Linked DNA regions of Macaca mulatta. The protein of the gene in region 7 interacts with the protein of the main gene of each other region in a pairwise test. Links are inferred from orthologs where the notes say so. Each region holds a gene or a part of one and is shown on either strand. Other genes may lie near its edges.

Region 1 (4,733 bases), on a different chromosome or scaffold from region 7:
AAAAATGAAATAATATATTTGAAAGGGGTTCACAGATCCGATAAAGACTATTTCCCTATCCCCAGGGGCAAAATCACTGAGGCCTAGCACAAGCTTTTAAAAATAACAGAGACTACAACAGAAATACATACAGAACCACAAAGCCTTGAGTAAAGTTGAATCACTTATAGAACTAAAAGCATCTCTTCTGCAGAAACTGGGGGCAAGGAGTAGTTACTTAGGGAAAAATATATGTAAGTATCAACAGAAGTTGCCCTTGATTGAAGCTTGGCTAAGCCCTTTACATTCGCAGGTGGGTGGCTGAGAGTTACTACTGATTCCAGACCCAGGCTCCTAGTTCAAATTTTGGCTCTAGCATTACCAGTTGTTTGACCTGGGGCTTTGTGCCTCAGTTTCCACATCTGTAAAAAGAAATAAGAAGGGGAGAAAAACAATACCTATCTCAAGGGTTGTTAACGTACTTAGCACACTTGTAACAGGGCCTGCCACACAGTAAGCCCTAGATAACTATTAGCTTATAATAGAAATCTGACACACATTTGTTGGGTAGTTAAAACTGTAAGCTGAGGAGTTTAGAGAAATCATAAATACTTTGATGCCTTAGTTTCCCCAGACGTAAACTGAAGACAATAAAAGAATCTGCTTCATAAGTCTGTTGTGATGCTTAATGAGACTGACACATAAAAACTCTTCCACAATGCCTGGCCCATAAGTGCTCAATAATGTGACAATGCCTGGAATATAGTAAGTGCTCGATAAATGTCAGCTGTTGTATTAACAGTTCTAGGAGGCAAAGATTACCATCGCCCTTTTTTAATTCTGAATAATAGACAACTCAGAGAGTGTTAAGTGCCCTGCCAACAAAACTATACTCAGAAAAATATTATACCAAGATTTCAACTCAGATAGGTCTGGAATCACAAGTTCTAACCACTATACTGTATACCTTCCTCTTTGAACAGGACTTAGAGAACAGAAGAGCTAATTCATACCTACCAGTTTACTAAGAGAAAGATGTTTGGAGATAACAATGCTAAATTTGGTGGATTCCCCACAGAGTCAACCACGAGCTTGGCCAAAAGCCCTTCTCCGCCATGCAAATGAGAATCTGCATAGACTGAACCCTGTTCTCAACCAGTTGTCTGCCTTTCGCCAAGTGGTTGTGAAACCACAGCCCTGTCACCAAAAATGGAAAAAAGAAGTCATTTTCCCCAGTAGCTTAACGAGCAAAATGAAGACTTAAAGTAGTGATCCCAGGGCTGAGAAAAGATATCCATTGCTCCAAAGCCAAGCAGAATTGCTGTAAAACACTAACGTTACTCTTTGATTAACATACTTTTATTTATTTTTTTTTAATGAACGTGCTTATTTCTATTATTTTAGGTTACCTAACTCAGGGGTACTTCCCATTAGTAAAATAAGAGGAAGTGTGTACCAGCCTGTAGGGGAGACTCCCTGGTGGGGCACAGTGTCAGACTAAGCAAGTCCCACTGTCAACACTGATGTCCTCCCCAGTTAAATGGTAATCAAAAGTGAAAATGAAATGGACTGGCAGAAGAAACAGGACGACCGGTCGAGTCCATGCTAATCACTGACATTTCACATCTTTTCACAGTTTCTTCTACTTGTATTTTATTTTTGTATTTTTATTAAAAACTGCCCTATCAGTCAATCTCAAGTCTACCCTTCCTTTAAAAAACAGTAATAAAAAAACCCTGTAATCCTAGGCAGGTGGATTGCTTGAGCTCAGGAGTTCCAGACCTGCCTGGGGCAACATGGCAAAACCCTGTCTCTACAAAAAAATACAGAAGTTAGCCAGGGTTGTGGTGGCCCGCACTCGTGGACCCGTGGTCCCAGCTACTCGGGAGGCTGAAGTGTGAGGATCACTTAAACCAGGGAGGCGGAGCTTGCAGTCAGCCAAGATCGCACCTCTGCAATCCAGCCTGGGTGACAGAGTAAGACCTTGTCTCAAAAGAAAAGCAAAAAAAGTAAATAATATTAAGAATAATGAAGGTCCAGCTATGTACCTACCTTAGGAACAGGCATCACTGCGAAGTGATGGCAGAGGCAAGGCAGGAGTCCCTGACCTCACCTCCATTCTCTCACTAAGAAGCCCCTGCAGAAGCTAGTCAACTATCAAAGCAGTCCCTGCTTCTTCCCAGTGAAGGCCTCAGCCTCCAGCCCAGCCCCCTCCCGGGAGAGGAGGGGCAGTTTATGCAATCCAAAACCAGTTCCCAGGCCCCAGAGGTGGACGTCTCCGGGGTGGAAGTCAGAAGCCCGCCAGGTTGTAGGCCTGGTTCTGCTCCCATCTGGCTGAATGATCCCGGTCACAACACTCGGACTCCCTCGGCCTTAGCCTCCCTGTCTGTAAAATGAAAGGTTTGATGGAGATCATGTGCCAGCCTCCTCCCCGTTCTAATTTTCTGATACCATCATTTTTAACGTGTCTTGCAGAGATAGAAGCCCTTCCTTTCAGCAGGACATATTGCTCCCCATTTCATGACGATCCCCCTCAATTATCCGTGTAATTTGAGAAAAGTATGATGCATCGGAACTGAAAAACAGGCTGTAGCTTTCCTGGTCACCAAATCTGATAATCAGTCAATAATATGGGTTTTCCCTCGGGCCTTCTCCCTCAATCCCACAATCCCACGAATAAACCTGCCTACCCCTCCCAATTCCTCAACTCAAAACTACCCGTTCATGAATTAAAAAAAAAAAAAAAAAAAAAAAAAAACCTCCCCACCCCCTTCTATCCAGCCTAGTGTAAGGTGCCACAGCACTTCTTCCGTAATCTAGAATCCACCTCTGCCCCACCCTCTCCCCGGGGTGTCTTTTTAGCCAGGAATCCCTGGATCCACACGCTCCATCTCCCCGCTCTGCCAAGCCAGTTGATCATTTCTCCCTGCCTGGCACCCGGCACACCTCGGCAGAAAAGGAGGCGGCGCCTCCACTCCAAGCCCAAGGGACCCAAACCTCTTTCCAACCCGCAAGGGTGCGGGCACCTGGGCGCAGCGGGAAGGGCCCGCGCCTCTGGAAAGAAGGGCCGCCGTCCCCACAAGGGCGGCGTAGGGGAGGCCCGTCAGCGGGTCTCTTGTCACTTACGGGCGGCTCCTCCGGGCAGAGCAGACCAGGGCCGGGCCGGGCTCGCGGGCAGCGGAGTTTGCTGACTCAAAGGCGCGCGGCGGCGGCAGCGGCGGCAGCGGCGGCGAGCGCCCAGGAGCGCACACGAGCGCAGCCCCGCGCTCCCCGCGCACGTAGCGGCCCCGCGCCCGCGCTCGGCGCCAGCAGTCCGCCTGTGGCCGCCGCGCCTAGTGCTTCCGCCGCCCCAGCGCAGCCCAGCCCAGGTGCGCCCCCGCCCTGTCGAGCTAGCCTCCTGCTTCCTGATATTGAGTTAGGGAGGAAATGCCCCCATTAGCCGGGAAGCTGAGGCTGGAGGTGATCCAGCAGCACCCTTCGGAATTCGCCACCTGAGTCACCTTAAGCTTCCTAATCCCCACCCCACAGTTATGGGGAGGATTGCCGATGTTGAGGGGAACGGATAAATAACGTGATAAACAAGAATGGCAGAATGTTCGTAGCATCTAGGTGGTGGGCTTATGGGTGTTTATATAAAATTACTTCAATTTTTGTCTGTTTGAAATGTCTCTTAATGGCGGAGCTTGCAGTGAGCTGAGATCCGGCCACTGCACTCCAGCCTGGGTGACAGCGCGAGACTCCGTCTCAAAAAAAAAAAAAAAAAAAAAAAGAAATGTCTCTTAATAAAACATTTGGGGGGAAAGCTAATGAGATCTGCCAAGGGACCTGACTGAGGAAAGCATTTCCCAAATGGCACCTGAGGCTGGGTCCCCACACCTGTTTGCATGGGAAACCGCAGCCATCACTTAAACTGCTAATAAGTGACTGAATGACACAGAATAATACACGTAGCCTAATATTTCATTTTCCAAGCATGAATTTTCCCATTAGACACAGTTTGTCGCTGATCATCCTCCAGGGACCATTCCAGGCCCACCTGAAAATGCATCTGTTCACCACACCTACATTACCTCCCTAACAAAATGTATAAATATGCAATGTTGTGTCTTAACATCTTGGATCTTGAAGCTGTATTGCTGAACCCTCAGTCATTGGTATTTAATTTCCTAAAATTGCACCCAAGTGATGACACACAAGTGAATGCAACCATGATCACTTTTGAAAATCAAATTAGGCCGGTGCGGTGGCTCACGCCTGTAATCCCAGCACTCTGGGAGGCCAAGGCGGGTGGATAACAAGGTCAGGAGATCGAGACTATCCTGGCTAACATGGTGAAACGCCATCTCTACTAAAAATAGAAAAACCGAGCTGGGCGTGGTGGCACGCACCTGTAATCCCAGCTACTCGGGAGGCTGAAGCAGGAGAATCGCTTGAATCCGGGAGGCGGAGGCTGCAGTGAGCGGAGATCATGCCATTGCACTTCAGCCTGGGCGACAGAGTGAGATTCTGTCTCAAAAAAAAAGAAAGAAAATCAAATTAAAGTGTATTTTTTATATTCTTGTCCCTATGCTCCACAAAGAAAAACATTGAGTAGAAAACAAAATGCAGCATGTATCTAAGATCCTAAGAGATTCTGTAAAATTAAAATCTTTCTGAACTTATTGTCAAGAGCATGACTTTACAGCTGTAGACAAAGCAGCAACGAACCCTTGGAGAGTCTACTGACAGTCATTTGAATATCTGTTAGAATGATG
Region 2 (4,605 bases), on a different chromosome or scaffold from region 7:
GGGCTGGTATGTTACAGCCCAAAAGCCTTCTATTGCTGGCCATGGTCTAGGCCAGACCTCGGACTGTCACACCGGACTTTTCTCTCTCTCCCAAAGGGCAAAGCCCTTGGCAGTCATCTCCAAGCATGGCTTTGGCATGTATTCCTTGAACAACTTCAGGCTAGCCAGAGTGTGAGGCCAAATCTTCTCCTATCTAGATCACGTGCTAGCTGCCAGGCCCTGCCATCTTCCCACAGACATGCTGGTCTCTCGCCTGCCAGCTCTGGTCCTGAGACTGCAGCAGCTTTACAAGAAGCAGGGTCACCATCTCCCCACTCTCACACGCTGCTCTGAGCTCCTTCAGAATCTGCCCTCAGAGGACTCCTCCATGAGCAGTGTCACAAGGCTTTGTCCTCTTGAAAATATCATCTTCCCAAAAAAAGCCTGTATTAAGCACTTATCTGCACGTGGTGTTGTGCTGAGTTCTGTTTCTAGTGAGTCACACTGTCACAGGCTCTGCCCTCTGGGAAAAAGTCTGGAATCTTTGCCAGAGACTGTAAAGTCCAGTTTGGCTAAGTACTGGGGTGTCAGAAGAGAAGGAATGGTTTAAAAATTCCTCCGAGACCACTGGGTGGTGACTCTTCCACTCGTGTTCATCTCCCATCCCTCACTTTCTAGCTTCCTCCTCCCTCCTTCTTTAGATTCCCAAACACTTCATTTTTTTCCATTTAAATTTCAGATGGGCTTATTTCCCACCTTTTAAATCCAGGGAACTCTTTGGCTTACTGTAACACTTGATTTTAAGCAAATGAGAGCATTAGGTTTTTGAGGGTTTAAGAGCCCATCCGTAAAGATATTTCTACTTTGGATTACAAAGGCATGTTTTAGAAATTCTAGAATCGTATAGCCTTACATTAAAGAAGCCAGACACACTAGAGGAAGTCTTAACCAAGCAAATGTCAACAGCCCCAGGAAAGGACAAAGACAAGATGCTGCCTTTGACTTTAAAAGGAAATGTAGCAATTCCCCTTCAAAATGCAAGGGGCAAAAAAGATCACAATTTCAAAATAATGTTCTATCTTCCTGACCCTGGGGCTCTCCCTTATCAGTACTGAGCTGTCCATCTTCCTGACATCTAGTGCGTTGGCCCAGTTTCTGAAGCCATTTTTAGAACATGTTCATTTTAATAATCAAGGAGTCAGAGTCTTGCACAGTTTCAAGTGTTTCATCAGTTACTCAGCCCTTCTCTCCACGTCACTCAGAGGAGGGGCCTTGTGGTCACTTTGGCCGTTTGACCAGCAAGAAGGAGGCTTACTGTTACCCCTGACTCTGTCTAGGATCCAACCATACGCTCAAGGAAAGGCCAGCTGTGAGCCTAGAGGAGTTGTCTTCAGTGATTCCATTGCCTTTATAGAGGCCCCCCTCTGCTCCCCTGACACAGGAAGTTGCCCTTGTTATGTCCTCCCTCCCTCCATGCCCTGCACATTGACATATTCGTGTCATATCAGGTTTCTACCTTTTCTGAATTAAAGGTGAGCACAAATGGTCAGACAAGAATATTTGCACTTAGCCTATTACATAAACTCATGGAGGGGGAGGATTGAGCATTTCCCTGGCCCTCGGTTAAGTCACTGCATTTTTACAAAGACCTTCTGAAGACAATACCAACAGAATGAATAAGGAGCAGTTCATGTATTAGATACCCCAGACAAGTAAAGAAAATACCATTCCAGGGGGCCTGTTACAATAAAAAACAAGTTTTGTTGATTACAAAGGGCTGGCTGGTGACCCTGCCTCAATTTCTTTAAAAGGGCTCATGGCTTTCTGCCAGAACCACCTCACTCCACCCCCATCTCAACTCAGCCCTAATCTTAACTATAAACTGCAATTTAAAATAAAGCAGCTTTTTCATTCTCCATGGATTTCCATCCTTTCCTTCCCTCTAATGACTTGAGGCTTAGCTGAAGTGGGGTTTTGCAGCCTATCGGCACCCAAGCGGTAGAAGAGACATCAGGATGTGTAAAGTGCTTTGGGATCCATCCCACAGACTAGGACCCAGAGATGCCTCCTGCCTCCCTCTGCCCACAGGTGCCGCTGCTCGGGCTAGGGGTCAAGGATGGGATCCAACATGCTTTTCCTGGCAGGACCTGTCAGGCAGGAGCAAAGGGTAAGAATGCAACCATTCTCGACCGCCCCAAAAAACTGAGTGATATGGGGACGGGACCCCGCTGAGAGAGGTGAAAAGGGGTGAGGAGGGGCCGAGGGTCCTCGGCTCAGCAAGAGGCGAAACCGCCACGCGCTGGGACGCTGGACGATGACAACCGCTACAGCTATGCCTCGGGCGAGGTCCCCTCCCAGGTCCCTCCCTTCCTGGACCTGACCCCCGGGATCACCTTGATCTTCTCGCCCTCGATTTCCACGGTCTTCTCCCTGAAGTCCACGCCGATGGTGGCTTCAGTCTTGTCTGGGAAGGTACCCCCGCAGAAGCGGAAGGTTAGGCAGGTCTTGCCCACGTTGGAGTCCCCAATCACGATGATTTTGAAGATGCGAATCTGCACGTACTGGTCCAGCGACGAGTCAAGCTCCAGGGACGCCAGGCCAGCGGCCGAGGCGGGCTCCAGGCTCCCATGGCCCAGGATGGGCTGCGCCATCTCCCCCGGACCGAACCGGGGCCCCAACCCCCCTCGAGGGCTCCACACAAAGAGAACGTCCACGTTCGTGCGCTCGAGGCGAGCGAGCTCTGTGCGCGTGTGTGTGCGCGCGTGTGTGTGTGTCCGCCCGTGTGTGCGTGCGCCGGCACCGTGTGCGCGCGCGCGTGAAGAGGGTGCCTCTCATTCCGGGCCCCCCTCCTCCTCCTCCAGCGCACCCTCCTTGCAGCTCGGAGGCACCAACACAAAAGCCAGGGAGAGGAGGAGAGAGGGAGGAGAGTGGACGAGCAGCGAGCCTTCTGCCTGTGTGCGCCCTCGGACCGGATGCTCTGGCGAAGGACCCTACGGCGCTGCTCCAGCCGCCGCCGCGCCTCGGCCCACACTCTCCCCTGCCTGCACCCCCGAGACCGACCGGAGGGAAGAAGCCTCAGGAGGAAAGGGAGGGGGTGGGGACAGCAGCACACGCCACCCCGGGATAGACTTCTTTCTCCTTGCCCCCATTTATGTTATAAGTTTCGGGCTCCCCACCCCCACTGGCTCGGAGCGCACGGGATCAGCGGGCAGGGAGCACAGCTGGGGAGGACAAAGAGCTGCACCCTAAGGCATCACTGGATCACTTCGGCCTCCCTGGAGCAACGCAACTCTGCAGGGATGGGGTGGGGGCTAAGGCACCTCTTTCACTTCGGGAGCAGCCGGCAGCTGAGCCGCGCCTTCCCGGTCCCCGCTACCCCGTCCCCTCTACCCCCACCCTCTACCCGACCCGCGCCTTGGGATAAAGGGATGTTCTGTCTTATTGAGTGAGCAGGTGCACTCACGGGCCCCAGGCAGCCTGAGCGGGCGCTGCCAAGACACGCAGTGGGTTGTCCCGGGCCTGCACAGTTGAGAGGAGGGAGCCAGCGGGCGCGCGTGTGCGTGTGTAGGGGGTGTTACTGTTTCTGTCACAGACTTGCCAGATGTAGGGGGGCGCGTACCAGGCGCCAACATCCCCTCATCACACCACGAGCACCCATCCTCTGAATGTTCAGGAGAGCGGCTCCTATTGGCTGCCGCAGTCGGTTGTGTTTGGCTGGCCAATGGGGAAGGCTCGCCGCGGGAGAGGGCCACACAGAGGCTAGGAGAAGGGGGGAAGCTAGTGGTGGCAGTTCCAGCAAAAGGGGACTTTGTTTATGGGGCTAGCCATTACTGGCCCAGGTGGAGGATCTTGGGACATGGCATAAGCTCCACAGTGCCTTCCACTCCCAAGCCCTCCATATAACCGTAAGTCCTTCCAGAAGGGTGGAGTTTCAGAGGGAGTTGGGAATCCCTAGGAGGGTTCACTCCCCCTGCAGCTGAATGTAGAACAAAGTGGTTGAGTCTAATTTGCCAGAAGCCTAGATTATGCTTGGAAGATGATAAATGAACACAATCTCCTTACAATATTAGGGGGCTGCTTCCCAAAGCTTACTAATCATCACACACATCTTGGTCAAGACCAGTATTCCCTCTCCCTAAAGTCATCCGCAGATTCAGAATTTGTTTGAAATCGACTTTATTGGGTACAATTTACATATGATAAAGTGCACCCATTTATTTTTAAGACTTCATCTCTCCCCCTACATATTTCATAAGCTAAGGTAACACTGACACATGTCACTAGCACTGACTTGTGAGTTATTGCTAATGCGATCAAGGTCAGGGATTCAAGCATCACAGTTGAGCTGCCATCTTATTTGGGAGGCTGAGCTGCAGGAAGAGACAAATATGACCAAATCCATTTCTGCTGAGAGAAAAACAGTTTAGTGCATAAGTGATATATCTGAGAGCAAACTGGAATGTAACTACTCAAGGACGTCCAAGTTACTCAGAATGGCGTCTTCCAGTTAATAAGTTTATAAGCTGAGCTAGCAGATATATTTACAGCTATATCATATATGCAGGTCGCCCATTCCTAAAACCCTAGATTATACTACTCAGCATTAAAACTACCCAGATAAGGATT
Region 3 (3,223 bases), on a different chromosome or scaffold from region 7:
AAACTGAGGCCCACAGGGGCGTGACTTACCTACCTACTCTGCATGAAGCTGTTTTAGCCATAGGGCCAGGGTGTTGGACTCTGGGACAATGAGAACTCGTCACCAAGCGCTCACTATATGTGAGGACCTGAACTGAGTGCCTTCTCAGGTGCTATTGCAGGTGAGGAAAGTGAGGCCCTGGGACGTCACACAGCTAGCTGTCGGTGGTGTTTTCTTAACTAATCACAGGCTGTTCCGACATGTTCCCCGCCCCTTCACTCTGCAGAGGGGCCTGCAGAAACTGGTCCTGAGGTGACACCACAGCTCAGCTCCCCAGCACCGCTGTGTCTGACACTGCAGGAGAGGCTGCTGGCCTTCGAGCGGGACCATGTGACCATCCCAGCAGCCCAGGTGGCTTTGGCCAAACAGCTGGCTGGCGACATTGCCCTGGAGCTGCAGGCCTACTTTCGGAGCAAGTTCCCGGAACTGCCCTTTGGGGCATTTGTGCCTGGGGGGCCACTGTATGATGGGCTGCAGGCAGGGGCCGCGGACCATGTGCGTCTCCTGGTGCCACTGGTGCTGGAGCCGGGCCTATGGAGCCTGGTGCCGGGCGTGGACACTGTGGCGAGGGACCCTCGCTGCTGGGCCGTGCGCAGGACTCAGCTTGAGTTCTGCCCCCGCGGGAGCAGCCCCTGGGACCGCTTCCTGGTCGGGGGCTACCTCTCTTCCCGCATCCTGCTGGAGCTACTCCGAAAGGCGCTGGCTGCCTCTGTCAACTGGCCGGCCATTGGCAGCCTTCTTGGGTGCCTGATCTGGCCCAGCATGGCCTCAGAGGAGCTGCTGCTCGAGGTGCAGCACGAGCGCCTGGAGCTCACCGTGGCTGTGCTTGTGGCAGTCCCTGGGGCCGATGCTGACGACCACCTCCTCTTGGCCTGGCCCCTGGAGGGGCTGGCGGGGAACCTCTGGCTGCAGGACCTATATCCAGTGGAGGCTGCAAGGCTGCGAGCCCTGGACGACCATGACGCTGGGACCCGCCGTCGGCTGCTGCTGCTGCTGTGTGCTGTCTGCCGTGGCTGCTCGGCCCTGGGGCAGCTGGGCCGGGGTCACCTGACCCAGGTGGTCCTACGTCTGGGGGAGGACAATGTGGACTGGACGGAGGAGGCCTTGGGTGAGCGCTTCCTGCAAGCCCTGGAACTGCTCATCGGCAGCCTGGAGCAGGCCAGCCTGCCCTGCCACTTCAACCCCAGCGTGAACCTCTTCAGCAGCTTGCGTGAGGAGGAGATTGACGACATTGGCTATGCGCTGTACAGTGGCCTACAGGAGCCTGAGGGGCTGCTGTAGGTGGGTGGGAACGGGTGGCTGGCGTGTTTTCTAATGCTGGGAAGCTGCGCCCACCTCCCTTCCGGGGATTTGAATAGTGGTTTTTCTCTAGCTTTTAGCCAGAACAAAAGAGGGTACATTACTTAAACCCAGGGCATCGGGATGTGCTTGGGCTATGGTGGCCGTAAACCCTGAGCCCAGAGAGCTTGGGTCACTGTCACCTGAGTACGGCTGGGCTGGCTCAGGCAGCTTGGAGTGCCAGCCATTTCTGCAAGCACCTTTTCAGCCCTTGGGGCCAACCCCAGGACCTTGGCTCTGTCCATCACCAGCAACCAATCCACCGACAGAATGTGGTTTCTGCCATCCTGGGCAGAAGCTAAAGGCCAACTTCACATTTCTGCTGAGAGAAGGCGACTTACCGCCTTCTCCGGCCCCAGCTCCAGGCGTTTTGAGGCCTCTGGTGCCTGGTGGTAGGTATGGTGTGTTTGTTCTGTCCCCCGGGCGCTGGAGTCACCTGGTGTCCCTGAATGACAGCTTTTTGGCTGTTAAAGGATGGCGTTTTCCTGCTGTCTTCTGTGCGTTTAGTTTTCTTGTTGTGTTCTCGAGCCCTGGAGCAGGAGCTCAGTGTGACTTGCTACCCACCTGATACCTCAGGGCAAGGCCCTTTTTCCCTCCAGCCAGGTGAGTGTTTTCTTCAAGCAGCTGAGGGCCCTGGGGGAGCTGAGGCTCTGTGCTGCGCCCCCAGCCCACAGCTGGGGCATATCACTGGAGCTCTTCCAGGCCCCACTGGAGAGCAGAGGGCCTGATCCCCCACCAGAGGGGTCCGGTGTGCAGAGCCGGCCTCCCAGTGTGCCAAAATGAACTGCTCTCAGCCGATGGCTGTATTCTGACTTTGAAGCCCGTTAGAGGTAGCAGGGGGGCTAGAGGAGGGAGATTCCACCTCCCTTCCCAAGTGATCCTCCTCCTGCCTCTGGTATCCTTCCTGCTGAAATGAAGCTCTGCTTCGAAGAGGTGAACAAGAATAAAAGAAAATTCTAACGTGTAACTCAGGCTGGATAAGGGGGTCTTGGCGCTTTCACACGTAGCTGTTGGGGGTTTTCTGTAAGTCCTGTGGCTTGTCCTGGCACTTAGGCAAGGGTGCTTGAGGTCAATTGGAGGTGGTAGAGTTTACTTTAAAAAGTAACATCTTGGCCGGGCGCGCTGGCTCAAACCCATAATCCCAGCACATTGGGAGGCCGAGGCGGGTGGATCCTGGGGTCAAGAGATCAAGACCATCCTGGCCAACATGGTGAAACCCCATCTCTACTAAAAAGATAAAAATTAGCTGGGTGTGGTGGTGGGTGCCTGTAGTCCCAGCTACTTGGGAGGCCAAGGCAGGAGAATCGCTTAAATCCGGGAGGTGGAGGTTGCAATGAGCCGAGATCACACCACTGCACTCCAGACTGGCGACAGAGCAAGACTCTGTCTCAATAAATAAATAAATTAATTAATTAATTAAAAAGCATTTTGGCCAGGTGCCGTGGCTCACGCCTGTAATCCCAGCACTTTCGGAGGCTGAGGTAAGTGGATCACCTGAGGTTGGGAATTCAAGACCAGCCTGACTAACGTGGAGAAACTCCGTTTCTACTAAAAATTCAAAAAATATTAGCTGGGCGTGGTGGTGCATGCATGTAATCCCAGCTACTTGGGAGGCTGAGGCAGAAGAATTGCTTGAACCCGGGAGGCAGAGGTTGTGGTGAGCTAAGATTGCGCCATTGCACTCCAGCCTAGGCAACAAGAATGAAACTCTGTCTCAAAAATAAAAAATAAAAAAAAATCATCTCAGTCTGTTTGGGCTGTGATAACAAAATGCCATAGACTAGGTGGCTTATAAACATCAGAAATTTATGTCTGACCATTTTGGAGGCTAGAAGTCCAAGAATGA
Region 4 (4,030 bases), on a different chromosome or scaffold from region 7:
ATACCTTTGCTGTTGTGTAGTCTACTACTTTCTTTGTGGTCAGATCACATTTGTTCCCTACCAACAATTTGTTGACATTTTCACTGGCATAACGATCTATTTCCTGCAGCCACTGTTTAACATTATTGAAGGACTCCTAAAAAGACATTTGAAAGTTTGATAATATGGTTCTGGAATAAATGGAAACAACCTTCCTGACCTAACAGACAAATAACAAAGAGCTAGTGAGACAACTCTAGGTACAAAATAACCACTGCTAAGGAGTGAAGGGGATTTTTTTTTTTTTTTTTTGAGACAGGGTCTTGCTGTGTTACCTAGGCCAGGGCGCAGTGGCACAATCACAGCTCACTGCACCCTCGACCTCCCAAGCTCAAGCCATCCTCCCGCTTCAGCCTCCGGGATAGCTGGGACTACAGGCACATGCCACCACACCTGGCTATTTTTTTTTTTTGGACTTCTTGTATAGATGGGGTTTCACTATGTTGCCCAGGCTGGTCTCAAACTCCTGAGCTCAAACAATCGGCCCACCTTGGCCTCAAAAATGCTGAGTTTACAGGTGTTAGCCACTGTGGCTGGCCGTAAACAGATATATTAAAATGACTATAAATATCTAAATGATGACAAACTAGAATTTACAGGCTTAATGATGAAAATACCTTATTTGAAAGGGACAGCTTAATATTAAACTGCAACTCAGGCAAACCCAACTGCTTTGGAATATGCAATTTAAATGTACTACAAAACCTGGTTTTGAAATTTGATAATTTTTTTTTTTGGGGGGGGGGGGGAGACAAAGTCTTGTTCTGTCATCCAGGCTGGAGTGCAATGGCACGATCTCGGCTCACTGCAACCTCTGCCTCCTGGGCTCAAGTGATTCTCCTGTCTCAGCCTCCCAAGTGACTGCTAGGATTACAGGCACGCGCCCCCACACCTGGCTAATTTTTGTCACGCCTGGCTAATTTTTGGTTTGTTTTTTTGTTTTTTCTTTTGGAGACAGAGTCTGGCTCTGTCACCCAGGCTGGAGTGCAGTGGCCGGATCTCAGCTCACTGCAAGCTCCGCCTCCCGGGTTTCCGCCATTCTCCTGCCTCAGCCTCCTCCCGGGTTTACGCCATTCTCCTGCCACCTCGCCCGGCTAGTTCTTTGTATTTTTTAGTAGAGACGGGGTTTCACCGTGTTAGCCAGGATGGTCTCGATCTCCTGACCTCGTGATCCGCCCGTCTCGGCCTCCCAAAGTGCTGGGATTACAGGCTTGAGCCACCGCGCCCGGCCTAATTTTTGTACTTTTAGTAGAGATGGGGTTTTGTCATGTTAGCCAGCCTGGTCTCTAACTCCTGGCCTCAGGTGATCCACCCGGCTCGGCCTCCCAAAGTGTGGGGATTACAGGCGTGAGCCACTGCACCCGGCTTGAAATTTGATAAAATTTTGGTTTATGAATAAGATGACCTACTGTTACTACTAGACATGTCAAAATGTTATTAAATATACTTATTTTCTTATCCACAGTCATATTTACAGGAGGAAAGTTTTCATTTAAAAGTATTTCACGGCAATATGACTAGAGATTTTTTTAAACTAGCATCATTTTTTTCTCTTGCAGATATCACCCACCCAGCACTTCTAATGGCACTGAATCAAAATGTTTACATGTAAGTTATCTCCTAATTAGCTATGATTTCATATTAGAGGTGAGATTTAACATTTGCCAAAAGAAAAATAAATTCCAATTTTGAATGTTTCTCTTCTGTCCTTTGATAGAAAGGACATCGAAATCTAAGTTTCTGATTAAAAATAATAATAACAAAAAAACAGTTATGGCCCCTGGAGTACATGCTTCACTGTCCCAGATTGTTCCCTCCATCACCCTGCCCTCTCTCACAGCTAATCTTCAGATACTCATTCTCATACTAAGATCCTCCTACAGCTTATCCTATTCAAATCCTTTTTTTCTGAACCACATCCTCCACAGGCAGAGACCCGCAAATCCCTCTTTTAGCAATTCTGATTACCAGGCCATATTCCTGTTAACAACACCAAGAATACAATATAAGTCAAGCAACTCACGATTCCCTACAAACTCTTGCCTATATGTTAGAGTCTTGGCTATTTGATCAGTTATTTAGTTCATAATAAATACAACCAGAATCCCTTGAAAGCAAATGTAAAACTTATTACTAATGTTCTATTTATTACAGGAAAAAAAATGTCTTTTAAGTGATTCACATTTATATTTGAGTGGACAAAGTTTTCTGCCATAAAGTTAATACTGATGGCTTATATGCGAAGTAGTAAATGAATCTTACATTAATCGAATAATGACTTCCTACTTGGTCACTGTAACACAATCTCCTCTTGGAACTTACCTGATCTGTCACATCATACACAACTATGATGCCATGGGCTCCTCTGTAATAACTGGAGGTGATTGTTCGAAATCTTTCCTGGCCTGCTGTGTCCCACTATTACAAAACAATCAAGAAATCCAAACAATTCCATTAAAATAAAGTTGGGGAAAAGTGTAGGAGGGAGGGGAAATAGTTTAGTTTTCATAACTGTGGAGATTATCAGGATGTGATATAGAAACATTAGTCCTCAACTCATACCACTATATTGCACAGTAATAAGTACCTGGAAGTCCAGAAAAGAAGGTAGTACCTACAACTGAGCTTACGATAATACTAAAATTACAAGCTGTTGAGAGCAGGAAGTATGTCATACTTTTCACATTCCCTACCGCCTTTAGCACCATGTTGAGGAATGTCACTGGCCTAAAGCCCTTGAACACAGAACTCTTCCATGTAAGACAAACTCACTTGCTTGCACATTCTACCATGATTAAATTAGCATTGGAGGGACCTGATTCAAATAACTACCAGTCAAGACAGAACTTTAATTATCCCAAGCAGGTGTCTTTTTCTTCCCCCCTTCAAGCAGGGTCTCAGATCTGTCATCCAGGCTGAGTGCAGTGGCATGATCATGGCTCACTGCAGCTTCAACCTCCCCAGCTCAAGCAATCCTCCCACCTGAGCCTCCTGAGGAGCTGGGACTATAGGTACATGCCACCACACTCAGCTAATTTTTTCTTTTTTGTAGAGACGGAGTTTTGCTATATTGCCCAGGCTGGTCTCAAATTCCTGGACTCAAGCAATTCTCCCAAAGTGCTGGCATTACTGGCATGAGCCACCATGCCTGGCCAGGTGTTGTCTTCATCCTAGAGAAAACAATGTAAGGAAGATGATTCCAAACACTTTTATAAAATGTATTTTAAGAGCAACTTAACTGCCTTTCAACTAGTTAGGCTCAAATTCCAAAAACAAATGCTAACATTATTGCATTATAGTTCTGGGTTTAAAAAAACTGTTGGGGCCGAGCGCGGTGGCTCAAGCCTGTAATCCCAGCACTTCAAGAGGCCGAGACAGGTGAATCACGAGGTCAGGAGATTGAGACCATCCCGGCTAACACGGAGAAACCCCGTCTCTACTAAAAAACACAAAAAACTAGCCAGGCGAGGTGGCGGGTCCCAGCTACTCAAGGGGCTGAGGCAGGAGAACGGTGCAAACCTGGGAGGTGGAGCTTGCAGTGAACTGAGATCCGGCCACTGCATTCCAGCCTGGGCAACAGAGCGAGACTCTGTCTCAAAAAAAAAAAAAAAAAAAAAAAAACTGTTGGGACTGGGCACGGTGGCTCACGCCTGTAATCCCAACACTTTGGGAGGCTAAGGCAGTCAGATCACGAGGTCAGGAGTTCGAGACCAGCCTGACCAACATGCTAAAACCCCATCTCCACTAAAATTACAAAAATTAGCCATGCATGGTGCGCGCCTGTACTCTCCCAGCTACTCGGGTGACTGAGGCAGAAGAAAAGCTTGAACCCGGGAGGCGGAGGTTGCAGTGAGCCGAGATCGCACCATTACACTTCAGTTTGGGGGACAGAACGAGACTCCATCTCAAAAAAAAAGAGAAAACTGTTAGCCAGGTGCAGTGGCTCATGCCTGTAATCCCAGCACTTTGGGAGGCCAAAGCAGGAGGATCG
Region 5 (4,030 bases), on a different chromosome or scaffold from region 7:
AGGAGCAGCACAGAGGGGACTGTCAGTACAAAGGCCCAGTGCCAGGGAAATGCCACCCCAGCCTGGTCACGGGCCATCTCCCCAGACCTAGGGGACCCAGACTCCCCGTCTTTGGGCAGCAGTGACCAGCTGATCCAGTGACAATGACTCAATTCCAGCACTTGCTCCAACAATGAACCGCTCAAGAGAGCGACTCCTCAGGCAGGGCTGGAGTTGAAAGAGACCCATGGGATGCAGCCTCCCATGAATTTAATGACTTGGGAGGGAAGCCCCATCGTGAGCAATCGCTGACCTCTCGGGAGACCCCTCCATCAGACACACATCCCCCCATCAGCACCCAGGGCCGGCTCTTCTGCCGGTTGGTGGAGTGGGCGTCAAGGCTGCAGCTGCAAGCGCCGGAGGCCCCGGAACCACACTTTTCCTTTCTTCCCCTCCCCCCACCCCCGCCCCCGCGACACAGTTTTTGTTCTTGTTGCCCAGGCTGGAGTGCAGTGGCCCGATCTTGGCTCACCGCCCCCTCCGCCTCCCGGGTTCAAGGGATTCTCCTGCCTCAGCCTCCTGAGTAGCTGGGACTACAGGCATGTGCCACCATGCCCAGCTTTTTTTTTTTTTTCTCTTTTGTAGTTTTAGGACAGACAGGGTTTCTCCATGTTGGTCAGGCTGGTCTCGAACTCCCGATCTCAGGTGCCCAACTCGGCCTCCCAAAGTGCTAGGCTTATAGGTGTGAACCACCGTGCCTGGCTTTTTTTTCTTTTTTTTTTTTTTTGGAGTCTCTGTCACCCAGGCTGGAGTGCAGTGGTGGGATCTCGGCTCACTGCAATCTCCGCCTCCTGGGTTCAAGCGATTCTCCTGCCTCAGCCTCCCAAGTAGCTGAGACTACAGGCGCCTGCCACCATGCCTGGCTAATTTTTATATTTTTAGTAGAGACAGGGTTTCACCATGTTGGCCAGGATGGTCTCGAACTCCTGACCTCAGGTGATCCACCCGCCTCAGCCTCCCAAAGTGCTGGGGTTACAGGCCCCCACCATGCCGGGCCTCTGGAACCACATTTCATAAGCCCGGTTCTATGGTTAGGGCACACCCACCCAGCCCCTACACTGGGGAACCTTCCCTATCAGTGTAACGTCCTGCCTGGGCTCTAGAGCAGAGTGACCTGGCTCTGTCCACCGCCTGCGTTTGCTTGATAAAGCACCACTGGACCAGAGCCATGGCCGTCTGTCACCCTGTCTTCTGCAGCTGCCTCCACCTTACCACGGCACATGGGGCTGGCAAAGGTTTACTATCTGGCCGTGAAAGAATGAGTGTGTGGCCTGCCCTACAGGGCCCAGGCTGGCAGGCGGCCCCCTGGCTGCCTTCAGGTCAGGGGACTGTTACTACTGTCCCCGCCCCCACTGGAAGACGGTGCTGGGGTCTGAAGGGCTCTACTGAGACTGTGCAGAGTGGGGCTCACTGCACCCCCCAAGCCATCACAAGGGGACACAGTGCCAGAAGCCCTGGGGAGGGTCAGCCCAGGAGAGCAGTCCCGGAGGCTCCATTGCCCCGGCCTCAGGAGCACTGGATGCCCCTAAGCACTGGCCTTCATCTGAGCCTCAGGCTCCCCAGGAGGAGGCAGGCAGAGAGGGGTGCTTGGGGTGACCCCCGCTTCTCCAGACCCTACCCTTCGCACCTGGGCGTCTATACCACGCAGCCTGCTCAAGGCAACCAGCTTGACACCATCCCGGCTCCAAACACGTCCCTGAACTCAGGACAGAGGTGGCAAAACACTGGCCTGGGCATCTCACCTCATCATTCAGGAGGCTGACAGAAGTGCCAGGAGAGTTAAGGGTCCCAGGAGGCCACATTGAGCTGGGGAGTGCCAGGCCTCAGTGGGAAGGGCAAAGTTGGGAGAGGCTCCCGAGGGCAGGTGAGCCCCTGTGAGCACCCATGCCCCCTGGCCTCAGCCAGTTCAGGGCTGGCAGGTACTGACAGAGAGCTGTCAACTGCTGGGTAACCCTCCCCCCGAGACAGAACTGAGAAAGTACATCTGCTGCGGTATCTTCATTTATGCTTTAGAAACCCACGTACCAGACCCAACATCTCTCTTAAGTCAACCAAAAGAAGTGAATCCAGGTTTCACAAAGAACCCTGGCACGGACCACCCCGTGGACAGAAGCCAGGTGGCGAGGGGAGGAACGGGTCCGCCGCATGCAGGGAGCCCCGGCGAGGAGGAAGAGGCTGACCTTCAGAGGCAGGCTGGCTCCCCAGGAGGCTGGTGTAAGCGTGAATGTCTTTTTCTATGGCAAGAAGGTGGGCAGGCAGTGGCGAGAAGGAGCACCCAAGAGCCGGTGAGAGAACGGAAAGAAAGCAACATGGGTTACGGCACGCGCATCTGTCAGCACAGTTTGCAGATAACAGGATGCGAGCTCCCCGTCAGCGGAGTTTAGTGGAGAGGCCCAGGCTGGGCCAAAGCTCACCAGGAAACGCACCAGGGGTTTGGTCTGCACAGACGCCTGCAGGAGGAGGGCTGAAGTGCTGGCTCCCGATGAGCCACCACTCAGACCTTTCTGGGGATCTCAGTTATTGCATTTGGGGCTTTATCCTTGGTTTGAGTCCAACAATAAACGGAATGATACATTACAGCATTTAGAGCAGAGGAAATCATTACGACATGCTGAGGCAAATTTCCCTTTGTTGTCTTACGGTTTAAGTCTCCACTCACCTGGCGAGTTCTAAAGCCACTGAGTAAATACACGCCCCCCAAAGAGGAAAGGCAGGCTGTCCTGGAGACCCAGCAGACCCCGTTCCTCAGGGTGGCTGCCTGATCCCAAAAGTGGACGCTCCTCTTGTCACCCATGCATGGCACCAAACCCTCCTGGCTTAGGAAAGGACGTGCTGGCATTTACCTCCAGGAGGGAAGCCTTCTGTGAGGAGCTGCACGGTGGAAATGTGCACAATTTCGATTTCATAGTGGCTGTCTCCATCCAGAAACAAGTATCTACATCAAATAAAAGTGTCCAAATCGGGTCACTCTCAGGCTCAGTGCCACCGAGGCTCCCGGTCTGTGACAATGCTGCCCCGTGCCAAGCAGGATCTGGCTCTTACCTCTGGTTATTGGAAAGACGACAAATCATAGTTTCGGGTTTCTCTGAGTTTCCAAACGTGACGAGGAAGGTGGCTCCTTGGGAACACAAAAGCAAATGTGAGAACAGGGTCTGCTTCTTTTCCACCTAACCCTTCCCACGAGTACCAGCAGGAGACGCACACACAGAGGACAGAGTGAAAACATCAAGAAACAAACCACAGCTTTGTTCTAAGGACCTCTTCAGCTGAGCAAAAAGGCAGTCATGGATCAAGGGTTTAAGAGGTAAACGAAAAGGTCTGCTCTAAACAGGTTCTGCTTGCTTACAAAGCTCCTAGAAATTTTTTTACATCCTTCAAAGGATGCAGGGAATCCATCACCAAGGTCCAGATCAAAGAACAATAAACCCCTCTGCTCGCAGGTCCTAAGAGCTGGCAGGACCAAGACAGCAGAAAGGAAGCACAACAAAGCCCACTGTCCAGCCAGGCACCATGCCCGTTTCACACAGGGCGGAGCTGTGGGCGGGAAGGCAGGTGGTCCCAGACCCCATGGCGGGCAAGCTGGGGACAGGAGGCTGGGACGGAGTGGCCAGAGGTGGGCGGGCAGTGGGGAGAAGGCGCTGCTCAGAGATTCCGGGGAGGCACAACATAAGCCCCCGGAGAACGCCCTTCTCCCACACCAGGTCCCCAGAGATGGCTCAAAACCGGGTCTGCATCGTGCTACCGGGCAAAGGTCTACGGACCCTCATCGAGGAGCCACGGTGGTCGCAAAGGCCCCAGCGCCGGCGCCGGGTTCCACCTGGGGGAGGTGCTGCCTGGGCCCAGGGCCTCCCCTCCCACCTGATGGACGTGCCCAGCGGAGTCAGCACCCACATTTTAGACGACATTCCAACTCTGAAGAGAAGGGAAGGCTCTATAACTGCTTCTAAACGAATCCAGAAGAAAACAGGGAAGGGAGGGAAGGCGAGAGAAC
Region 6 (4,030 bases), on a different chromosome or scaffold from region 7:
GCTGACTCCACCTCCATCGTTGCCAGCTCAGCCACATGGGTGGGGCTGGGGGCTGCGCCTTCTGCAATTAGAAAGGGAGGACTCAGACCAGACTAGCCCTTCTTTTCTCAGGCCCTCTGCCCAACCCAAGACCTCTTTTGTTCATCAGGGTATCAGCCTGTCCCCAGTAGAGGGGACCAAGGCCAGAGCAATCCAGAAGTCGTCTGTGGATCAAAAACTGGCCATGATGTATTTGATAGATAGGGTTCATGTGCTTCTGTAAAAACAGCCTTACCGCCGGGTGTGGTGGCTCACACCTGTAATCCCAGTATTTTGGGAGGCCGAGGTGGGCGGATCACGAGGTCAGGAATCGAGACCATCCTGACTAACATGGTGAAACCCTGTCTCTACTAAAAATACAAAAATTAGCCGGGCATGGTGGCGGGCACCTGTGATCCCAGCTACTCGGGGAGGCTGAGGCAGGAGAATGGCGTGAACCCGGGAGGCGGAGCTTGCAGTGAGCCGAGATCGCGTCACTGCACTCCAGCCTGGGCGACAGAGCGAGACTCCGTCTCAAAAAAAAAAAAAAAACAACAACAATAACAAAAAAACACAGCCTTACCTTCCTAATTATGTCATTAGGTACACACTCACTTTAGTTTGTGAGCTCTGGGTCACTGGTCCTATTTCCCTCTTGACTCCAGTTGACCTAGAAATCCAAAAATCCCCTCCAGAAAGTTTCCCTGAAGAATGCTAGGCCAACAACACCAGGCTGAGGGTAGAAATGCTCCAAGCCTTGGAATAATCTTAGAATAGGAGACTTCGAGAATCTCAGGGGTTTTCTGAAGCCTTGCAGCTCCAGGCTCTGGGGACTCTCCCCATGGGCTGAGTGAGTCTCACTGGAGCTGCGTGTGAAGGGTCTTGAAAAGATCCTGGTTGGACAGTTGCTCATGCCTATAATCCAGCGCTTCAGGAGGCCGAGGTGGGAGGACTACTTGAGTGCAGGAGCTTGAGACCAGCCTGGGCAACATAGTGAGAGCTTGTCTCTAGAAAAAATCAAAAACTTAGCTGGGCGTGATGGTGCATGCCTGTGGTTCTGTCCCAGCTATTCGGGAGGCGGAGGTGGGGGGATCGCTTGGGCCTAGGAGGTAGAGGCTGCAGTGAGCCACGATCACACCACTGCCCTCTAGCGTGGTGACAGAGCCAGACCCTATCTCAAAAAAAAAAAAAAAGAAAAAGAAAAAGAAAAAAAAGAAAGGAAAAAAAAAAAAGAGAAAATAGAAAAGCTCCTGCCCAGGCAGGCGCTCAGCTGACACAAGGACAGAGCACTTGGATGCCTGCCACCCAGAGGCCAGACACAACAGCCCTGTGACACCAACACTGCCTTTCCCTCCCATTCCTTCTTCCCACTCCCCAACCCTGGAGAGGCAGTAGCAGGAACAGGAGGAAGCAGAACGAGAAAAGTGAGAGGCAGGGCACTTTGGCTCATACCTGTAATCTCAGCACTCTGGGAGGCCGAGGAGGGTGGATCACTTGAGGGTCAGGAGTTTTGAGACCAGTCTGACCAACATGAAGAAATCTCATCTCAACTAAAAATACAAAATTAGCCAGGCACCATGGCGTGTGCCTGTAGTCCCAGCTACTCGGGAAGCTGAGGCCAGAGAATCGCTTGAACCCGGGAGGTTGCAGTGAGCAGAGATTGCGCCACTGCACTCCAGAATGGACAACAGAGTGAGACTCTGTCTCAGAAAAAAAAAAAAAAGAATAACAGACATGGGCTCTCGCTATATTGTCCAGGCTGGTCTTGAATTCCTGGGATCTCCCTGCCTCAGCCTCCCAAAGTGTTGAGATTACAGGTGTGAGCCAATGTGCCAGGCCTTGGCGAATTTTAGAATGAAAAACTCCAGTGCCTCAGAGCTTGGGACTGTCAAGTCCCAGGATCTCACAGCAAGAAGGTGCCCAGGACCCTAACCTCCATCAGGGGGCCCTTCAATCTCCGGCATCCCCAAATGCCAGTGGCTCCAGGCCCCCAGAGGGGTTTCCCTTTGCAGCTGCTCTTTGAGCTCAGAACTCACTTCCATTGACCAGCAGGCTTCTTGCCTTCAGGATCTGCAGCCAGACCCTGGCCAGCCAGGAAATCCCACCACGAGCTTACAGCGAAGGAACTAAAATGTCCCAGAGCAGTGTGACCCGGCTCTTTCCAAAGCCTTCTCAGTGAGATGGCCCCAACGTGGGAAGTGCCTCCTTTCCTTCCTCATGGCTACTTGTTGCACAGGTGCATCCAGCACACCACACCACGAGCCCTGGCACGGAGCTGCTCATTCTCACTGAAGCTGCTCTTGGTCCACAGGGCAGCACTACTGAGGGGACGTCTTTCCCAGATCTGCGCAGGCACTGAGCAGGCTAGTGGGGCTCTGCCCTCCTCCCTGTCCTAAGGATGTCCTGCCCTGGCTCCTTCCCGGCTGACCCAGCTCATTACCTTCTTTGGAGAAGGGGTCGAAGAGGGCCAGCTCAGCCTCGGTGAGGGGGACTCGGGCAGGGGAACCAGACGCTTCCTCGGTGCTCTCACAGTTAAAGAGAAGATCCAGGGCCTCCTGGGCAGGGCTGGATGGTGGGGGGTCCACTGAGGAAGAGATAATTGGGGTCATGAATACCCGCATTTATTTCTCAGCTTTCAAAATGGAATTACTCTCTCTCTAAACCCTTGCAGCAACCATGGGCATAGACAAGCCCGTTATTAGGGTTTATGCCCATTTTACAGATTAAGAAACTGTAGTGCAGAGAAGGAAAAGGACCTGCCCAAAGTTCCTCAGCCAGTCAGTGATAGACCTGGACACACGCCCATTTCTCACTAAGACCACTGAGGAGTGAGTGTGGCCCCCTCCCCACTCTGTACCCTCCAGCCTTGGTTCCCTCCTCCCACCCTGATGTACCTGGCACCTCCAATTCCTCAAGGCCCCTCCTTTCTGCAGGGAGCGGCTGGGGTAGCCGGGGGTCATCAGGGGGCGGGGTGGGGATCAGAGGGGGTGGCAGGATGTGCAGGTCCCTGGACATCTCCGAGGGTCGGGTCACCTCCCCACCCTGCAGGACAGAAAGATCAGCCATGGGGAGTCATGGGGTGCAATCTGGTGGGTGGGTAAGTGGCCCAAGTTCTGGTAAGGTGGAAGGTGCACATACCCTGAAGAACTCCTTGAGCTGGGGGCTGTTGTTGAGCGCAGGTATGTGCACGGTGAAGCGAAGCAGGTCCTCTGCCCCCTTTCGCCGCTCCTCGATCACTGAGGCTTCAAATCGGCCTACAGCCCCCAGGACAAGGAACAGGGGAGAGTGGCGGTGACCTATAGGGGCTTCTGCCCTAAGGCCACTTTTCCTGGTCCTGCCTGAGATGCTCTGAGCAACTCACTGCCCTCCTACCCCTTCTCCCAGGAATCTTCTCTGGCTCCTCCTGGGGTGAGGGAGGGGCTTCCAGGACAGATCAATTTCCCTATTCATTCATTTGCCAGATGTTTACTGAGCACCTACTATATGCTAGACTCAGAAGGTGAACAGGGGAGGAACAAGTCTCTGCCCTTGTGAGTATCACATCCTACACAGGGGGAGCTAGGTAGTTAACAAGAAACAAAAACATTTCTGATGGCTTTGATCTAATGAGGAGAAAAGTAAGGCTCAGAGAGGGAAAGTGACTTGCCCAAGGTCACACAGCAAGTAGCCCCCATTTGTTTTTTGAGACAAGGCCTGGCTCTGTTATCTAGGCTGGTGTGCAGTGGCACAATCTCAGCTCACTGCAACCTCTGCCACCTGGGATCAAGCCGCCCTCCTGCCTCAGCCTCCCAAGTAGCTGGGACTATAGGTGCACACCACCATGCCTGGCTAATTTTTGTATTTTTTGTAGAGATGGGGTTTTACCATGTTGCCCAGGCTGGTCTTGAACTCCTGAGCTCAAGTGATTACCTTGCCTTGGCTTCCCAAAGTGCTGAGATCACAGGTGCGAGTCACAGTTTCACTGCTCTGTCCTAGGTATTATGCAGTGCAGGCTAACTCTGGTCCAGTTACT
Region 7 (4,571 bases):
CAAAAATGAAAAAGAAAACCCGATTCCACTAAAAGCCTGGGGGTGACAAAGAGGAAATAAATAGTAACTAGCCAATCTGATCTTCAAAGTGTAACTCTTCCATCTTCAGTGTGGGGCCCTTGCAAAGGGCTTCCCTGCCTATTGCGCCACCAGCCCCTTGGACAGGGCCATCTTCCCCCCACCTCCTGGGAACGCCTTCCAGCAGGCTTCCAAGCACAAACCCTGAAGTGCCGTAGATCTTGGAAGACAAGACCTGGGCCTAAAAGAGTCACTTGGGGCCAGGCACAGTGGCTCATGCCTGTAATCCCAGCACATTGGGAGGCTGAGGTGGACGAATCCCAAGGTCAGGAGTTCGAGACCAACCTAGCCAACATGGTGAAACCCCGTCTTTACTAAAAATACAAAAAATTAGCTGGGCATAGTGGTGCACGCCTGTAATCCCAGCTAGTTGGGAGGCTGAGGCAGGAAAATCGCTTGAACTCAGGAGGCAGAGGTTGCAGTGAGCTGAGATTGTGCCATTGTACTCCAGCCTGGGCAACAAGAGTGAGACTCCATCCCAGAAAAACCCACAAAACTTCCCAACCTTTTCTCTTTCCCAATTTCACTCCCTCCTGTCCAAAGGTGTGTGTGTTTGCAGGTGGGGGGGGGGGTGGTGGCGGTGCGGAGGTGTCCCTAGTCCCAACTCATTCATCTTTGGGACTCCACAAAGTGGGGCAGGGGGCAACCTCAGATACCCCTCCAGCAACCATGACCCACTCACTAGCCTCAATCTCTTGAGGAAGGAATCAATTCCCACAAACTCTCTAAATCTTTCTACTCAAAATGTGGTCCATGGACCAGCGGCATCAGCATCACCTGGGAACTCAGAAATGCGAATTATGGGCTCCACCCCAGACTTGCTGAATGAGAACATCTGGGGTGGGGCCCAGGAGTCTGTTTTAGCAAGCCCTCTAGTTGTTTTTTTATGCCCTCTAGAGTCAGAACGACAGCTCTGCACGGTCCCCATTGTGCCCTGCCTGGGAGAGTACACAACACCCTCTTCTGCCATTAGAGCTCCCATAACGCCCTCTTTCCTGACAGCGCACCTGCACCCTCCTGAAACTACAGGTCCCACAATGCCCAGAGGTGCGCGCCGTCACTTTCTGGGATTATATCTCCCAAGGTGTCTTGCGAGTCAGACCGCCATCATGGCGCCCACCCTCCCAGCCACCGTCAGGACTACAACTCCCACAATGATCGGCGGCAGAACTACAGTCCCCAGCTGCTCCCGAGCGGCGCCACGTCGACTCCGCTGGGTGGGGCCGGCCTCGGGCGGGGCCGGCGGGGTCTGCAGGGTACCGGGCTGGTTACAGCAGCTCTACCCCTCACGACGCAGACATGGCAGCCCAGAAGGACCAGCAGAAAGATGTCGAGGCGGAAGGGCTGAGCGCCACGTGAGCGAGCCGGCTCTAGGCCCTCGGACCCGAGGCCCGGGAGTCCGGGACCCTGGCCCCCTCCTCCCTCGAGTGCCCGGAGTCCCAGCCCCGAGACGCACAAGCGCTGGCCCCGGTCTCCTCTAATGGGACCCTGGCGTCTGGGCCCCTACCCCCCTCCCCGCCTGTGATTCAGTAATCTGGGGTCCCGGGAGGGAGTCCAAGCCCCCTTAAACCCCTTCTTTTGCGGGGGTCTGAGGCTCCATCCCGGTCCACCACTGACCCGGCCCCACCCCTCGCAGGACCCTGCTGCCGAAGCTGATTCCCTCCGGTGCAGGCCGGGAGTGGCTGGAGCGGCGCCGCGCGACTATCCGGCCGTGGGGCACCTTCGTGGACCAGCAGCGTTTCTCACGGCCCCGCAACCTGGGCGAGCTGTGCCAGCGCCTCGTACGCAACGTGGAGTACTACCAGAGCAACTATGTGTTCGTGTTCCTGGGCCTCATCCTGTACTGCGTGTGAGTGCATCCCGGGCCCTGCACCCGCACTAGCCCCGACCGGGTGGACCCCTCCTCTCACAGCTCAGGCCCCGCCCTTCAGCGCCCGGGCCCTCCTCTCACCACCCAGGGCCCCCTCCTACCGCCCAGGCCCCTCCCCTCACCGCCCAGGCCCCTCCTCTCACCGCCTAGGCCGGCCCCGCCCCCAAGGATTGGCTCTGCTAGACCTACTTTGTCACCAAAGGGCCAGGTCCCTACCCCACCATCACCCTGGCCAGGATGCAGTGTGACTGAATGTCACCTGGCCCTCCCTGGTCTCCAGAATGTAGCTTGCCTCCCGCCGGTGGAGAAGGCCAGGGCTCCCTGGCTGACCAGCCCCAGCTGCCTAACCGCTGCCTCCCTGCACTCCTCCTCCAGGGTGACGTCCCCTATGTTGCTGGTGGCTCTGGCTGTCTTTTTCGGCGCCTGTTACATTCTCTATCTGCGCACCTTGCAGTCCAAGCTTGTGCTTTTTGGTGAGAAACCCCCTGCCCAGATGAATCCTTGGTCCCTCGAATCTTGGTCTTTTGGAATGCAAACCTCAGACCCCAAATCCAAGTCCTTCAAAACCCAAGTCCGCCGAAGCCTAGATGAACACTAGATCTCCCAAACCTGATCCTTTAAAAATCTCAGACACAACCGATGCTCCCATCGAGTCTCAGCCCCCTCAAATTGCTATTCCTCAAACCTAGGCTCCACCTGGCTGCTGTGCCTTAAACCTACTCCTCTTCAAACCACATGACTCCTCCCCTCTCTCCTCCCCTTGCCGCTTTCTGCGGCAAGCATCAGCTGCAGGTGCCCACACTGGACACCAGGTGGCGAACTTACACTGGCCTAGATCTGTTCCCGTTTCTTTTCCTGCTTTCTGGGATGTGACCAGAAAGAACTTGGAACTTGGGGAAGCTGAGGAGTGTGTTTCATGTGGTTCCCAGACTAGTACCAAGGACCACTGGGAGAACAAAATGCCAGGGGAAATTCCCCCCAGGGGAAAATCAAGGTTTGGAGTGGGGTCAAGGAGTTGGGATTGGGCTGTCAGGTAGACCTGAAGGCCAGGCTCTTCAGGGGCCTGCAAGTTATGTGCATGACGGGCTTAGGGGGAGGGAGCGCCTGCAGCACAGGCACCAGAGCATGCAGACCCCATCCCTGAGACTTCTATGAGAAGCCTGAAGTTGGTATTTTTATGTGAAATCATTCACTTTGCCAGCCACAAATCACATCCTTGTAAAACATCTCAAAACAAACACACATCCACAGGTCAGATTTGGCCCTTGGGCCACCAGTTTGAGACCCCTGGTCTGCGTGAGGGTTGCAGCAGGAGAGCCCTAGTCTAGGGAGCAGGAAGCTGGGATCCCAGGAACTTCCTGGAGGATGTGGGGCAGAGGGCAGAGCGTGGGGCTGAGGCAGGCGAGGACGGTGTGCTGTGTTCTGGAGGGCAGTGAGGACACCAGGGGAGCAGGGTGACCCCAGGACCTGGAGGGCCTTGGCATGAGGAGTTTGGATTTGATCCCGAGGACCTGAAGCTTATACAGATTGTTGGGGGGCAGCAGGGGTTACTCTGGGAGAGGGCATGAAGGGTCGGAACAGCGCCCCAATGCCATCTGCTTTCAGGCCGAGAGGTGAGCCCAGCGCATCAGTACGCTCTGGCTGGAGGCATCTCCTTCCCCTTCTTCTGGCTGGCTGGTGCGGGCTCGGCCGTCTTCTGGGTGCTGGGTGAGTACAGGGTCTGAGCAGCTGGGGTGGATGGTGGGGGCCAGGTACAGGAGCATGGCCCTGAGCTGCCGGCTTTCCTGCAGGAGCCACCCTGGTGGTCATCGGCTCCCATGCTGCCTTCCACCAGATTGAGGCTGTGGACGGGGAGGAGCTGCAGATGGAACCCGTGTGAGGTGTCTTCTGGGACCTGCCAGCCTCCCGGGCCAGCTGCCCCGCCCCTGCCTACTCCTGTCCTGCACAGCTCTGCTGCTCGGGCCCATAGCGCCGTCCCATCACAAGCCCGGGGAGGGATCCCGCCTTTGAAAATAAAGCTGTTACGGGTGTCATTCAGGAAATACTCCCCTAGCATCTTCTGTGGGTCTCTATGGGTGCAGCTGGGAATACTGTGCAGATCAGGGTTGGGGTGGAACCTGGGGTGTGGGCAAGATGATAAGGTAAACAGGTAAAATATTAATGGGATGCCCAATGGTGGTGAGTGCTGAGGAGGAGAAAAGAGTTGAGAAGGACAGTGTGCCGGGGGTCCCCGAGACCACCCCCGGGTTTGATGGTTCTCTAGGACTCGGGAATCAGAGAGCACCCCAGGTTTGATGGTTCTCTAGGACTCGGGAATCAGAGAGCACCCCAGGTTTGATGGTTCTCTAGGACTCGGGAATCAGAGCACCCCAGGTTTGATGGTTCTCTAGGACTCGGGAATCAGAGAGCACCCCAGGTTTGATGGTTCTCTAGGACTCGGGAATCAGAGCACCCCAGGTTTGATGGTTCTCTAGGACTTGGGAATCAGAGCACCCCAGGTTTGATGGTTCTCTAGGACTTGGGAATCAGAGCACCCCAGGTTTGATGGTTCTCTAGGACTTGGGAATCAGAGCACCCCAGGTTTGATGGTTCTCTAGGACTTGGGAATCAGAGCACCCCAGGT

The links.
Region 1: the proteins of RABAC1 (region 7) and SNX10 interact in binary tests that used the Homo sapiens proteins (3 or more experiments, as listed by UniProt). The two-hybrid records come from large-scale screens. The link is inferred for Macaca mulatta from reciprocal best matches to the Homo sapiens genes RABAC1 and SNX10.
Region 2: the proteins of RABAC1 (region 7) and RAB33A interact in binary tests that used the Homo sapiens proteins (3 or more experiments, as listed by UniProt). The two-hybrid records come from large-scale screens. The link is inferred for Macaca mulatta from reciprocal best matches to the Homo sapiens genes RABAC1 and RAB33A.
Region 3: the proteins of RABAC1 (region 7) and MIEF2 interact in binary tests that used the Homo sapiens proteins (3 or more experiments, as listed by UniProt). The two-hybrid records come from large-scale screens. The link is inferred for Macaca mulatta from reciprocal best matches to the Homo sapiens genes RABAC1 and MIEF2.
Region 4: the proteins of RABAC1 (region 7) and RAB1A interact in a two-hybrid assay, tested with the Homo sapiens proteins (2 studies listed by BioGRID and IntAct). The link is inferred for Macaca mulatta from reciprocal best matches to the Homo sapiens genes RABAC1 and RAB1A.
Region 5: the proteins of RABAC1 (region 7) and ZFYVE21 interact in binary tests that used the Homo sapiens proteins (3 or more experiments, as listed by UniProt). The two-hybrid records come from large-scale screens. The link is inferred for Macaca mulatta from reciprocal best matches to the Homo sapiens genes RABAC1 and ZFYVE21.
Region 6: the proteins of RABAC1 (region 7) and SNX15 interact in binary tests that used the Homo sapiens proteins (3 or more experiments, as listed by UniProt). The two-hybrid records come from large-scale screens. The link is inferred for Macaca mulatta from reciprocal best matches to the Homo sapiens genes RABAC1 and SNX15.

The regions. Positions count from the first base shown.
Region 1 is NC_133408.1:102,074,427-102,079,159, forward strand, and holds the start of SNX10 (sorting nexin-10), read right to left. Parts: upstream 3,183-4,733; 5' UTR 3,106-3,182; intron 3,020-3,105; exon of another isoform or gene 2,032-3,019; intron 1-2,031. UniProt on the Homo sapiens protein: Probable phosphoinositide-binding protein involved in protein sorting and membrane trafficking in endosomes. Plays a role in cilium biogenesis through regulation of the transport and the localization of proteins to the cilium.
Region 2 is NC_133426.1:136,625,918-136,630,522, reverse strand, and holds the start of RAB33A (ras-related protein Rab-33A), read right to left. Parts: upstream 2,884-4,605; 5' UTR 2,631-2,883; coding exon 2,373-2,630; intron 1-2,372.
Region 3 is NC_133421.1:19,848,484-19,851,706, forward strand, and holds the end of MIEF2 (mitochondrial dynamics protein MID49), read left to right. Parts: intron 1-265; coding exon 266-1,320; 3' UTR 1,321-2,344; downstream 2,345-3,223. UniProt on the Homo sapiens protein: Mitochondrial outer membrane protein involved in the regulation of mitochondrial organization.
Region 4 is NC_133418.1:59,625,561-59,629,590, reverse strand, and holds part of RAB1A (ras-related protein Rab-1A), read right to left. Parts: intron 2,458-4,030; coding exon 2,362-2,457; intron 137-2,361; coding exon 5-136; intron 1-4. UniProt on the Homo sapiens protein: The small GTPases Rab are key regulators of intracellular membrane trafficking, from the formation of transport vesicles to their fusion with membranes.
Region 5 is NC_133412.1:177,149,261-177,153,290, reverse strand, and holds part of ZFYVE21 (zinc finger FYVE domain-containing protein 21), read right to left. Parts: intron 3,158-4,030; coding exon 3,082-3,157; intron 2,975-3,081; coding exon 2,883-2,974; intron 2,274-2,882; coding exon 2,220-2,273; intron 1-2,219. UniProt on the Homo sapiens protein: Plays a role in cell adhesion, and thereby in cell motility which requires repeated formation and disassembly of focal adhesions.
Region 6 is NC_133419.1:9,347,299-9,351,328, forward strand, and holds part of SNX15 (sorting nexin-15), read right to left. Parts: intron 3,273-4,030; coding exon 3,157-3,272; intron 3,061-3,156; coding exon 2,913-3,060; intron 2,603-2,912; coding exon 2,459-2,602; intron 62-2,458; coding exon 1-61. UniProt on the Homo sapiens protein: May be involved in several stages of intracellular trafficking. Overexpression of SNX15 disrupts the normal trafficking of proteins from the plasma membrane to recycling endosomes or the TGN.
Region 7 is NC_133424.1:52,997,602-53,002,172, reverse strand, and holds RABAC1 (prenylated Rab acceptor protein 1), read left to right. Parts: upstream 1-1,311; 5' UTR 1,312-1,377; coding exon 1,378-1,433; intron 1,434-1,714; coding exon 1,715-1,927; intron 1,928-2,323; coding exon 2,324-2,421; intron 2,422-3,553; coding exon 3,554-3,655; intron 3,656-3,738; coding exon 3,739-3,827; 3' UTR 3,828-3,976; downstream 3,977-4,571. UniProt on the Homo sapiens protein: General Rab protein regulator required for vesicle formation from the Golgi complex. May control vesicle docking and fusion by mediating the action of Rab GTPases to the SNARE complexes.